Diceros bicornis minor: one gene and its partners. The protein of the gene in region 1 interacts with the protein of each later gene in a biochemical or structural test. Links are inferred from orthologs where the notes say so. Each region holds a gene or a part of one and is shown in the gene's direction. Other genes may lie near its edges.

Evidence for each region.
Region 2: the proteins of UBE2B (region 1) and RNF40 form a complex in vitro, tested with the Homo sapiens proteins (3 studies listed by BioGRID). The link is inferred for Diceros bicornis minor from reciprocal best matches to the Homo sapiens genes UBE2B and RNF40.
Region 3: the proteins of UBE2B (region 1) and UBR1 form a complex in vitro, tested with the Homo sapiens proteins (2 studies listed by BioGRID and IntAct, with this or other methods). The link is inferred for Diceros bicornis minor from reciprocal best matches to the Homo sapiens genes UBE2B and UBR1.

The regions. Positions count from the first base shown.
Region 1 is NC_080740.1:53,504,497-53,508,243, forward strand, and holds the start of UBE2B (ubiquitin-conjugating enzyme E2 B), read left to right. Parts: upstream 1-1,410; 5' UTR 1,411-1,478; coding exon 1,479-1,522; intron 1,523-2,001; exon of another isoform or gene 2,002-2,483; intron 2,484-3,632; coding exon 3,633-3,713; intron 3,714-3,747. UniProt on the Homo sapiens protein: E2 ubiquitin-conjugating enzyme that accepts ubiquitin from the ubiquitin-activating enzyme E1 and transfers it to a E3 ubiquitin-protein ligase. In vitro catalyzes 'Lys-11'-, as well as 'Lys-48'- and 'Lys-63'-linked polyubiquitination.
Region 2 is NC_080765.1:21,217,989-21,221,735, reverse strand, and holds the start of RNF40 (E3 ubiquitin-protein ligase BRE1B), read left to right. Parts: upstream 1-900; 5' UTR 901-1,364; intron 1,365-1,472; 5' UTR 1,473-1,544; coding exon 1,545-1,676; intron 1,677-1,710; exon of another isoform or gene 1,711-1,946; intron 1,947-2,095; coding exon 2,096-2,263; intron 2,264-2,398; coding exon 2,399-2,531; intron 2,532-3,021; coding exon 3,022-3,228; intron 3,229-3,747. Other genes in the region: CFAP119 (cilia- and flagella-associated protein 119), read right to left, coding at 241-272, 598-801.
Region 3 is NC_080744.1:40,574,273-40,578,019, reverse strand, and holds the start of UBR1 (E3 ubiquitin-protein ligase UBR1), read left to right. Parts: upstream 1-1,107; 5' UTR 1,108-1,354; coding exon 1,355-1,435; intron 1,436-3,747. UniProt on the Homo sapiens protein: E3 ubiquitin-protein ligase which is a component of the N-end rule pathway. Recognizes and binds proteins bearing specific N-terminal residues that are destabilizing according to the N-end rule, leading to their ubiquitination and subsequent degradation.

The DNA.
Region 1 (3,747 bases):
AACTTGGGGCAATGCTAAGGTCCTTATTCCATCCTCCTCTTCCACCTTGGACTGAAGAATTACCCAAAAGAATATGAAAGTGCTCAGAGTCCTTCTGACCAGCTAAGCCCTAAGGCCAGGAATTGGAGGCAATAGAGGGAAGGAAACAGAATCCCCAGGGGTCAACACCTCTGAGCCCCCTGGTGGGGAGCATTTCAGGCCCATTTGCCCCTTACTTGCTAGCATAGAAAACCTGAAATGAGTTATCCAGGCTAGATATATAACCCCCACCTTTATCTGCCTGATCTCTCCCACAGATTTGAATCCTATTTTTAGGTGTCTCTGACAACCAACCACCCATCCACATGCTCTCTTGAGATCTCATCCCAACATTTCTTGACAAATACAAGGTACCCCATTGTGGCCAAATCCATGAACTTTTCCACACATCCTCAAATGAGAGCAGACCCATAAAGGAAAAACAAAATTCCATAATTCCATAAGGACTGTGAACAAATCTTGGACAATCTGTACACTGTTCTTTTATCTTTGCCCAGAATTTCCAACCCTGGAAACCCCACTGTAATGCACATACAGGCTATTTGGTGGCCCTAACTAAGCATTTCAGGAGATTTTACTTTGTGCGGGCCTCAGCATTCAATGCTGCACTTAGCAAAAACTGAGGTCCCTTCATTCTGCCTTCCCCATACACCAGATAAGCCATTGAACCAACCAAAGAGGATTTTGAATCCAAATTATTTTGGGACCCTTTTAAAGACTTAAGCAGCAAAACAAGCTTTTGCTTCCACCACGACTCTTCGATTGCCGTCCCTGTTTATGGGACAAACTGGAGGGAAAACTAATAAAGGTATATCCCTGCCCTCAGCCCAATAAAATTAACTACCGGCTTCATAGACCTGGCTGAGACTCAGACCAGAGCAGCACTCTCACGTGATCCGTTCTAATAGCGTCATAGGGACACGTGGTTCTAGATACTTCGCCCCCTCCCCCTCAGGGGTGGATTGTTGACAACGTCGCCATAGGTCACGTGATCTTACGTCATCCCACCTCCTTTCCCTGAAATCTCTGGCCCCGGATGCGTTCCTCTCTCCCCACCCGGTCGAGCCTAAACTAGTGAAGGGGGGAGAGACACGGTGGTGTTTCGGTTTGAGTGTCTCTTAATCCACAACCTCCAGTCTGAGAACGGAGAACACTAATTTGTTGATTAGTTCAGGCAGTCAAAATGAATATAGAGTCCTGCTGAAAGGCTCCTATAACGAGCTTTCATACGTTCCCCCGCTCCTCCGCAACCCCTCACCCTGTGGTACTGGCGAAGGGCGGAGGGATCTGGAGGCGGCGGAGGGAGACGTCATTGCAGGGTTGTTTGTGCAACCTCGGCAGCGGCGGTGACCCACAGTGATTCGACCGCCGCGCCGGGGGGTGGGGGGGGCTGTGCGGGACTCTTTTTTTTCAGACTGATCGCGGGGCAGGTGGGGAGCATGTCGACCCCGGCCCGGAGGAGGCTCATGCGGGATTTCAAGCGGTAAGGGCCCTCATCTTCGCCCGGCTGACGGCTCCTCCCCAAAGCTGCGGGGCAGCAGGGCGGGGATCCGGGACACCTTTCTCTCTTGACCCTAAGGGCCGGCTTTGGGCCCAGCGGGACCGACGGAAGCCCAGTCCTAGCTCCCGGCCGCAGTCCCTCAATCCTTGCTTGCTCACTCTTCCGACGTAAAAAATTTCGGTACCCTATCCCCGCCTCCAAAAGTAAAAAGATGGCTTTGGGCTGTCCTAGGATTCTCTGCTGCCCACTTGGACCGGCTGCCCGACGTCTCATCCTAGAGCTTGTACCTCATCCCCCCACCTCCCCGGTGCCCCCTCCCTGTCCCGTAAGAGCGAGCCCTTGCAGAAGCTTTTTCCCCGCTTGCTGCACTAGTCAGCTTTGTTCGATGGCCCTGCGGTCTCCTCTGAGGGGCTGGGTTGGGGCGAAGTCCCCCCCCCCCTCGCAGTGAGGGTGGGGTCTGCAGCGCGTGGTCTGGAGGTGGTTAACCCATCCTCCGAAACCCGACTCTCCCCGCCCGCCTGAAAGGACCTTGAGTGCTGGCTTAGAGACCTGGGCCTCGGGCTGGCAACCCCGGCTGCCAGTACCTTCTGGAATTCAGCTCTGTGGCCTGGTGTATAAAGCCCTATCTATAGCCTCCAAAGTCTGGAAAAATGCCTTCCTTGAGGCTGGCGCTAACCTGATACTCCCTGGGCCTCCTTTTGTAAAACAGGGTTTTGTTAGGAGGTGTTGGGGTTAGTGAGGAGGAAGTGACTTTTTTTCACTTGTTTACCTTTGAATACCTGGAAGTACGGAATAAAATGAGAAAACTTAGCAATGCGATCCTCTGCGCATTTTAAATGTTTTTCTGGGGAGACCTTCCCTAGTTGAGACACAATATCTAATGTAAAAACAATATCAGTCGCTCAGGAAGTAATCTCTCGACTTCGCCATTAAAAAGCCGCAGGTGAGGCATTTGGAAGCCATTGTTTTGGGCCTTGGCCCGTTTATCATTGAATATATTTGTAACTTCTCTTAGCCATTTACCTTCGTGGGCGTCAGGCAGCGTAATTCCTCTAAGGCTTCTGTTCATCGTGGCCTAATCTACTTGAGGTTGACTAAAAAGAACGATTTTTATGTGGACTAATTTCAAAGTAGCATATCACATGACAGTCACTACATATATATCTATATGTATAATGTAGCATTTATTTTTTCCTGAGTTGGTAGTCTTTAAAAGGGGATGCTTCTTTGGTGCAAACATCTTCTAACGCTTGAAATCAGTAGACTTGAGATTAGCGCCCGTGAATGAAACTCAGGTAATGAAACTTCCAGTTTGTGTCCATTGTTACCCTGCTTTCTTAAGGGATTCTCTCCTTAATTCTGAGTTGAACACATGGCGCCTCTGGTAATTTTCCAAGGGTCTTCAGGTTACAAGAATTTCACTGTCACAAATATCGGAAGGTAGCTTTGTATTGAGTCTCCTCATGTAAGAGGTGGATTTAGTGTTAGTGCAGAGCCTTTAAAATAGGGGCTGTTGGCAGCTTAACTAAAGCGTTGATTACTTTAAAAGCCATTGCTAATTGAGGCTGGTGGGATAAAGTAACTTTCCTACCTAAAACCAGTTTCCTAATGAAACTGAATATAAGTATTTTCAGTCGTTGAGTACTTACACTGAATTTTTTTTGTTTTGCGGTTTTTGTTTTGGTGGTCATGTTGTACAAGTAGCTGTGATTAGGGCTCAGTCTTTGTGTGTTTATAGCAGCACAGTTGATTGTGCTGTAAAAATATTTTTTGCACTCGAGGGTCTTTTTTCTGGTTGAGGGCAGTCTGTATACCTCAGTTCTTGAAGAGATATCTTAAACTCAGTGATATTTGAAGAGGGATGATTCCTAAGCCCTTTGGAATTTTAGATAATTTGGAGAGATATTTAATAAGTATATACCTGGTCGATTTTTTTTTTTTAAGTCATGGTTTGTTCCAGCTCAGCACAAGAACAAGAAAATGGATTTAGTGTGTGTCTCAGAGTAGATAGTATAGAGTCCATAGGTGTTCTGTTGGGCCTTCTTAGTGGCCTTCATGTTCAACTTTTAAAATTACTACTCTGGATTTCTAGATTGCAAGAGGACCCACCTGTGGGTGTCAGTGGTGCACCATCTGAAAACAACATCATGCAGTGGAATGCAGTTATATTTGGGTGAGTTGAAAAATAAAACAGGTGATAGGTGTGG
Region 2 (3,747 bases), on another chromosome or scaffold:
TAGTGGCTATGATATTCCACTTACATCCTCAGTCTTTGGCTCCCTTCTTCCCACACTCTCTTTGGAGTGGGAAGGCAGGAGAGCTGGCTTCTAGTCCCTTGGCTAATTGCATCTCTGGGCCTTGGTCTCCTTATCTGTAAAATGGGGATGTCCTGGCTGTTTGATAGGACTGTTGGGGAAGCACTAAAGGAATAATGCAAGTGTGAAGTGTAACTTTCTCCCGAGGTTCTTCACACTCACCACATGCAGATCCGGGGCTGGGGCAGCGGCGGCTGCGGAAAGAAAGCGGATTGGGGAAGGCAGAGCTATGTTGTCCCTGGCCCCTAGTTCCTGGCCCATCGCGAATATCCAGCGGGCCTGAGAACGAGCTAACTTCTCATTTAAGGACTATGTACAAGCAACGCTGGCGGGCTGGGCTTCAGCAGGACCTACATATTATTCATGAGCGTATTAACAATCGGGCTCACACACCCCTGACTCTTCACTAAGGCAGCCCGGAAAATGTCTCGAACGTTAGTAAACATAACGACGGGTGACGCCCTGTTGGGGAGCCTTTTTATAAACATTCATGAGAGGACCAGTCTGTCCCGCCCTCACCGGGAACAAGTTGGCTGCAGGATCATCATCTGCTTCCACCGAGGCCGCGGTCCCCGACTCGATCCGCACATCTGTTCCCATCCGCGTAGCCGATTCATCCACTGAGCTGAGGTTTTTGTCGGGTTCCCGCCGCTGTTCGGAGGGCTCTTCAAGCTCCGACTGCATTCTGAGTCCTAGGAATTGGCTGGACTTCTGGCGGATCATCTCGTCGCTCCTCCCGCGGTCCCGCCTCCGTTCCGGGACAGCCGGTTCTCGGGCAGCGACTGCCAAGGCCTGGCCCTTTAACGACGCTTCAGCCAATCTATGCTGCAGAGACGCCAGGGGCAGCCAATGCGCGAGGGGCGTCTCCCTCGGTCTCAACGGTGACCGTTGCTAAGGAGTCTCGTGGAGGAAGGGTGAAAGTGTAAAGCGCTTGCCAATCAGTGAAAAGAGAGTGCGCATGCGTAGTAAGTTGCAAGCCCCGTCCCGCTGCCCTTTCTTCAAAGTGGCTAACAGGAGGCAGGCGATGTCATCAGGGCTAGGGAGTGAAAGTGTAGTATCAGTTACCATGGGAACCCTTTACTGGCCAATCACCGAGCGAAAGAGGAAGTGTTCAGGAAGACACCAGACCGGACCCGAGAGGCGGGACAAAGCGCGACCAATAGAAACAGGAAATGAAGGAGGTTCGCCACATCCGGCACTGCCTCTGGCGCCTGCGCTCTCTGCTGGGGAGGCCGGTGACGTCCGGTGAAGTCCAAGATGGCGGGGCTCGGTTGATCTTGTTGCCGGTGAGGGGCCCGGGGCCGGCGGGGCGGGACCCAGCGTTTGTGTGCGGGGGAGGCTCGGGGTTGCGGAGCACCGGCTGCTTCCACATCTGTGCGCTCTGTCTTCTGCAGGTGACAGACGTGCCGCCTCCGCCTGCCTGACGTCCCTCGGGAGACGCTGCGCCGCTCCTCGCCGCCGCGGCCATGTCTGGGCCCGGCAACAAACGCGCCGCCGGCGACGGGGGCTCGGGGCCCCCAGAGAAGAAGCTCAGCCGTGAGGAGAAGACCACAACCACACTTATAGAGCCCATTCGTCTTGGGGGCATCTCTTCCACGGTTCGTGGGCTCCTGCCCCAGCCCTCACAACTTGCCAGACTCCAATCTCTGTTCTTCTCCCAAATCTTCCGGAACCTTACTCCCAGTCCCCCAAGCTTAGCAAGAGCCCCTTTACAGAACACTCTGTTGAGGGAAACCGAGGACATGACGTCTGCCTTCCCTTTACAGATAGGAAAACAGGTGCCCAGTGCGCGTGTGACTTGTCAGAGACTTCAGAGTTAGAAAGAGGCAGGAGAACATGACCCGCCTCACAACCAAGACGCTTTCTCTGTGGGTACCTGAGCCTCTTTAAATCCTGCTAGCAGTCTGGGGAGCAGTCTCCCTTTCCCATCCATTCCATTTGTTTTCCTCTGTCTCTCTCTGGTTGGTTTCTTGGGCCCTGCTTGATCCTGTCCTTGGCTTCTTTGTTTCCTTGGTAGGAGGAGATGGACCTGAAGGTGCTGCAGTTCAAGAACAAGAAACTAGCAGAGCGGTTGGAACAGCGACAGGCTTGTGAAGATGAACTCCGAGAACGAATTGAGAAGCTGGAGAAGCGGCAGGCCACAGATGATGCCACACTCCTCATTGTCAACCGCTACTGGGCCCAGGTGGATGCCCCTCTGCTTGCCACGACCTGGCCTTAATCCAGCTGCCAATCCTCAGACTCCTCTGCTGGGAAAGGAGTATCATGCTGGGGAAGCACCTGAGGGATTCATAACATTTTTGGTGCTTTCTCCCTTCAGCTGGATGAAACTGTGGAAGCTCTTCTCAGACACCATGAGAGCCAGGGGGAGCTGTCTTCAGGGACAGAGGCGCCTGGGACCCAGGAAGGGCCAACACGTGATGAGACCCCTCTTACAGAGCCAGGGACGTCGGGTAGGGCCAGAGCCGTAGGATCTGGGGAGCTTAATTAAATTCTGGGAAAGGTCCTGGAGAGGAGGGGACTTTGATATTAGGCTCCTGAATTCCCTGGCCCCGTTCTAGATGGAGGAGACAGAAATAAGCAAAAAGAAATACTGTTTTTGCCACCAGGGAGGAAGTGATTTTGAACCATATGTTAAAAGTATAGGGCTCCTTGAATGGGAATTAGGGTGTGTGTACACGTGTGTGGTTCTCATTTAGATTGGAGAGGCAGAGAAGACTTCCCTGAGGAAGTGATTTGGGAGCTCTGTGGGCTTGAGGAGATTACTTTACCTCCCTGAACCTCAGTTGTTTCACTTTCAAGATGGGGATAACGGTGTACTACAGGCATTGGTTGTGTTGATTCAGTGAGCCATAGAGTGTTGAAGGGCTTGGTCTGGAACTTGGTGCAGAGTGGTGGTAACTGCTGCCTTTATCCTCATGAGAGTGTGTCCTTCCTTCCCAGAGACCCTGCCAATGCAGCTGCGGCCCCCACTCAGCGAGCCAGCCTTGGCTTTTGTGGTGGCGCTGGGTGCCAGCAGTAGTGAGGAGGTGGAGCTGCAGCTGCAGGGCCGTATGGAGTTCTCCAAAGCAGCCGTGTCCCGTGTTGTAGAGGCCTCAGACCGCTTACAGCGCCGAGTGGAGGAACTGTGTCAACGAGTATACAGCCGAGGTTAGTTCTTTGTGCCCTCACCCTAGAGATGTCCATCGCAATTTGCATCTTCACAGTATCCCCTCCTCAATGCCTCTAGCCCAAAGGCAGCCAGAATTCCCCAAGGATTAGATCAGCCATGTTCTCAGCGGAAGAGTTAGGTTGTAGATGGGGGCTCCAGCTGTGAATCCTGGAGTTGAGCTCTAGAGATATGGGTGGGAGGAGCTGATGCTGGTGGGGCCACCCCCTTCTGGCTGGAGACCTCTTTGGAGCACTGTACACAGATCTTGGTGGCAGTTGCTGATCCACAAGGCATAGCAGCAAGTGCCCAGGCTTTGCAGTCAGATATCTTCTCCCAGCCTTAGTTTTGTCACTCTAGCCTGGGCAATCTGGGCAAATGGCTCTCCTCTCTGAGCTGGTTTCCTCCTTTGTACAGTGGGGATAAAGACTCCTGGCTTTGTCATGAGAAATTGGCAAGACAGCTGGTGGATCACACTGGGCACATAGCAGACTCCAGAATGAGTTAGTACTTTGCCCCAT
Region 3 (3,747 bases), on another chromosome or scaffold:
CCATTTCTGCTTAATTTGCATTTATTTGCCTACTAGATAGGTTTTTAAATACATTTATAAAAATCGGTAAGTTGCATATTTATGTATTTTGCCCTTTTTCCTATTGGAATAGTCTCATTTGGGGTTTTATCCTTTAGTCTGTCATGAATGTTGTAGACATTTCTTCCCAGTTTTTGTTTACTTTTTAACTTTGTGTAGTTTATTTTATATGTAAGTTATTAATTTTGATAAAATTACTTATCAGTCTTTTTATATTTTCTGCTTTTGGTGTCATGCTTTAAAAAGCCTTCTCCATCCCAATATTAAAGAAATATTTACTTATTTGCTTTCTTTTTTAGTAGTTAACTCATCAATTCATTGGGAATTATTCTGATATATGATTTGAGATGAAGATCTGACTTAATCTTTTCCCAAACAGTTTATTTCTTTCCAGAGTGTTATGAGCTTTATTACTATTTTTCCCTTTGTTAAAAAAAATATTTTAACATCATTTGTTTTGTAAACAATTTAAAACAATATAAATGAAGCTAACGTAGCTCTTGACCACCTTCCTCCTCTCTTGGTCCTCAGAGCTAACTATTATTAGTTTGTTCTCTTCCCTTTCAGGCTGTTTCCTTCATATTTACATGTAGGTAAGCACAAATATATAGTTTGTGGCAACTTGGTTGTTTTTCCCCCCTCAATTAATTTATCTTTATCTTTTTACATAAATCTATCTTGTTTTTTTTAAAGAGCTGCATCGTGTCCCGTAATGCAAATGTACCACATTTATTCTGTCTTCCCTCTACCGAAGAACGACTAGAAGGTTTCCAATTTTTCATTTCTTCAGCACCTCCCCCCAAAACGCTGGGGCTCAAGCTTTCTTGTGGCAGGTACAAGTGGCCACAGACTACATTCCTAAAGATGGAAGAGCTTTGAGTACTTTTTCATTTTGCGGGCTCTGGGGAGCCACTGCAGGTACGTCGAGAGACAAAACAAACCCAGACCAACAACCGGGCCAGGAGACCCAGTACAGGTCCTTGGCCTCTCACAATTTTCTTCCTTTCACAATGGACGCTGAATTTGTTTTTTACCTCGCAGACGCAACGGTTCCCAGGACCGAAACCGAATTTACAGCCACTCACCCACCAAGCACTATGATTAAGAAATTACGGGAAGGAAAACCTCCAGCCGTACACGCCACGCCGTGATGCTTGCTTCCGGGAAGCGGAACGGAAGCCGCTCTTCGATTCTGCGTCAAACTCGACTTCAGGGGCCGTCGTAAAAGTGTCGCCCCTCGTCTCTCGAACCGGTCACAGGTTTCCGCTTGTCTCCGGCCGGGGGTCTGGAACTACGGGCGTCAGTTTCCCTCAAGATGGCGGAGAAGGAGGCGGTGGGTAGGGAGAGAATGGAAGTCAGCACGGAGTTGCCCCAGAACCCTCAGCGACTGGCGTCTGTAAGTCTTTGTGGGCAAGTTCCTCCCATCCTCCCCAAGTCCGTCCCTACCGCGCTCAGGAAGATGTGGGACTTCACCCCTTATGGAGGCTCTGGGGAGGGGAAGTCGTATGGATTGATCTGGAAGGAAGCCGCTTAATAAAAAGTTAATCATCACCCACACTCCTGCAGGCCAAGTCTACGGAAGATAATGACTTTGCCATTTATTAGTCTTGACGAGCTCAAGCGTGTCTCTATCCTGAAGTAGAAAGAACTGCTGATGTTATTAGAGGGTCTGGTGTGGGGGCTGAGGCGGGGTTACAGGAAGAGCCATTTTTCCTATAGACGCAGTGCTAACCTTTCTTGGTGGTAGGAATCCAGGACGCAGCACCTAGTGTTGTATTGCATAGCTGGCTGGGTGGAGCCTGATAGTGGCAGGAAATGCTGCCACTGTCAACTCATGTCAAGATATGGGGTGTAGAAATTGTAGTCCTTCATTCTAACGTCTTGAGAACCCCAGGCCTAATCCTCAGTGGAAAAACCTGTCATCTGTCGCTGCTATTTAAAGGTGAAGAAGAGACTTCCAGACATTTCAAATCAGCAATACCTTTAATTAATTTCGGAATGTATACTTTGCCCTTATATTTTGAAAGAAGGGGAGGGCAGAGATAGTGAGCAAATTTGAATCAATAGTCTGGCTACAGGGAGAAAGCTGACTGAGGAGTAAGGGGTAATATTAGGGAACGCTCTGGATGTCCCCAGGCATCTAGTGAGGAGATATATAGAAAATATTCAAATGTTGATCACTGCATGATGTTGAGTTTATCAGTTTGTCTTTGTTGCTGCATATAGAAAAGTGTGGGATGTACACCTCTTCCTGAAGTTTCTCTGGTTTGTAGTTTTAATAAAAGCATTCTTGAAGTATTTTAACCCTGCAGACACTTGAGCATTGTTTTATGAGAGAACAGAGTGAGCTCCAGAAATAAGAGACCGGCTGGGAGATAAAAAACAGGTAGGGAGGGAGTTGAAATAAAGGTTTGGCCACCAACTAGGGCAGTGCTTGCAACCATCCTCTACCCCAAAAAACAGTTCAACCTCTTCACCTGGTATTGAAGAAGGAAGCATCTATTTGAGATGATAAGAAATGAGAAGACAGGGAAAGTTTAGAAGCAACTAAAACATCTGGTCTTAATGATAGCTTGTGCTTTGTACATCTTAGAAGGAGTGGAGAAACTAGGTGCTGTGGTCAGATGTGTTGCTGTAATTTTGTATTGCCAAAGGTAACTAGTGCTGATTTAAAGCTTTGATATATTAATTCCTTCCAGGTGGTACAGTAAAACCTTATCAATCTGGACTTCACTTATTTGGAATTGGAGATAATGGTACAGGAATAAAGCTAGAATTAGGAGGCAAACTCTTTACTTCAAGAAATATTAGATTTCTTTAGATAAGGCTTTGAATTTTGCAAAGTAGTAGGTTGATTTCAGAAGTGTAATAGCCTCAGGGAACTCACAGTCTAGTGACAGATAAGACAAGTGCTCAAAGAATTGTAATACAAGATACGGTGGTGGTAAGTGGATGAAGACTTGTGACTGTTAAGCCTCATGATCACTTTTTTGGCTTAGATCTATCTACTTGAGGACTCCAGATATCTTCCTACTTTCCTTTTCTTTTTAAAGCTACCATCTTCAATTTTATCCTGACAGTGGACTAGGATACTGACTTTCCAGTTTACTTCTTTGCTGTTAAGCAAAACAAGTTCAGAGATTCTTTAACATTTGAATGATTTGTATTCTAAATCACCATTCGGAGACAGGGAAAACAAAAATAATAAATATGGGACAGTTACAGAGGTTTAAGAAATCTTACCAGCTTTATTAGAATCTTGTTCCTGGTTATAGTTTCTGTTATTCTTAAATCAAACTTCCTTCTTAGACCCCACGTCATTTTTCTGTCATATTGCTATCAACAAGCATGAAGGCTCTCAAATTCCTAACATCACCTAACATGCAATTAGTGTGAAATAATAGGTATGAATTATCGGACATTTATAAAAGCCATTGCTTAAGAATCGTTAGAGAAGTTGATTCTGTAGGTCTGGGGTGGGGTCCAAGAATTTGCGTTTTCACAAGCATGGCCTGCTGATTCTGAAATCCTGGTCTGTGGGCCACATTTTGAGTAAGACTTAGCTAGACATTTGGAAGTTCTCAATATAGAATTGACAGTCGAGGTTGTGGGAATGGATAAGATCTTTGAGGAGGAGAGATAGAGAGAGAAAAAGAGAGACAGTGTGTGTGTGTGTACATGTACGCAGAGAGAGAGAGACAGACACAC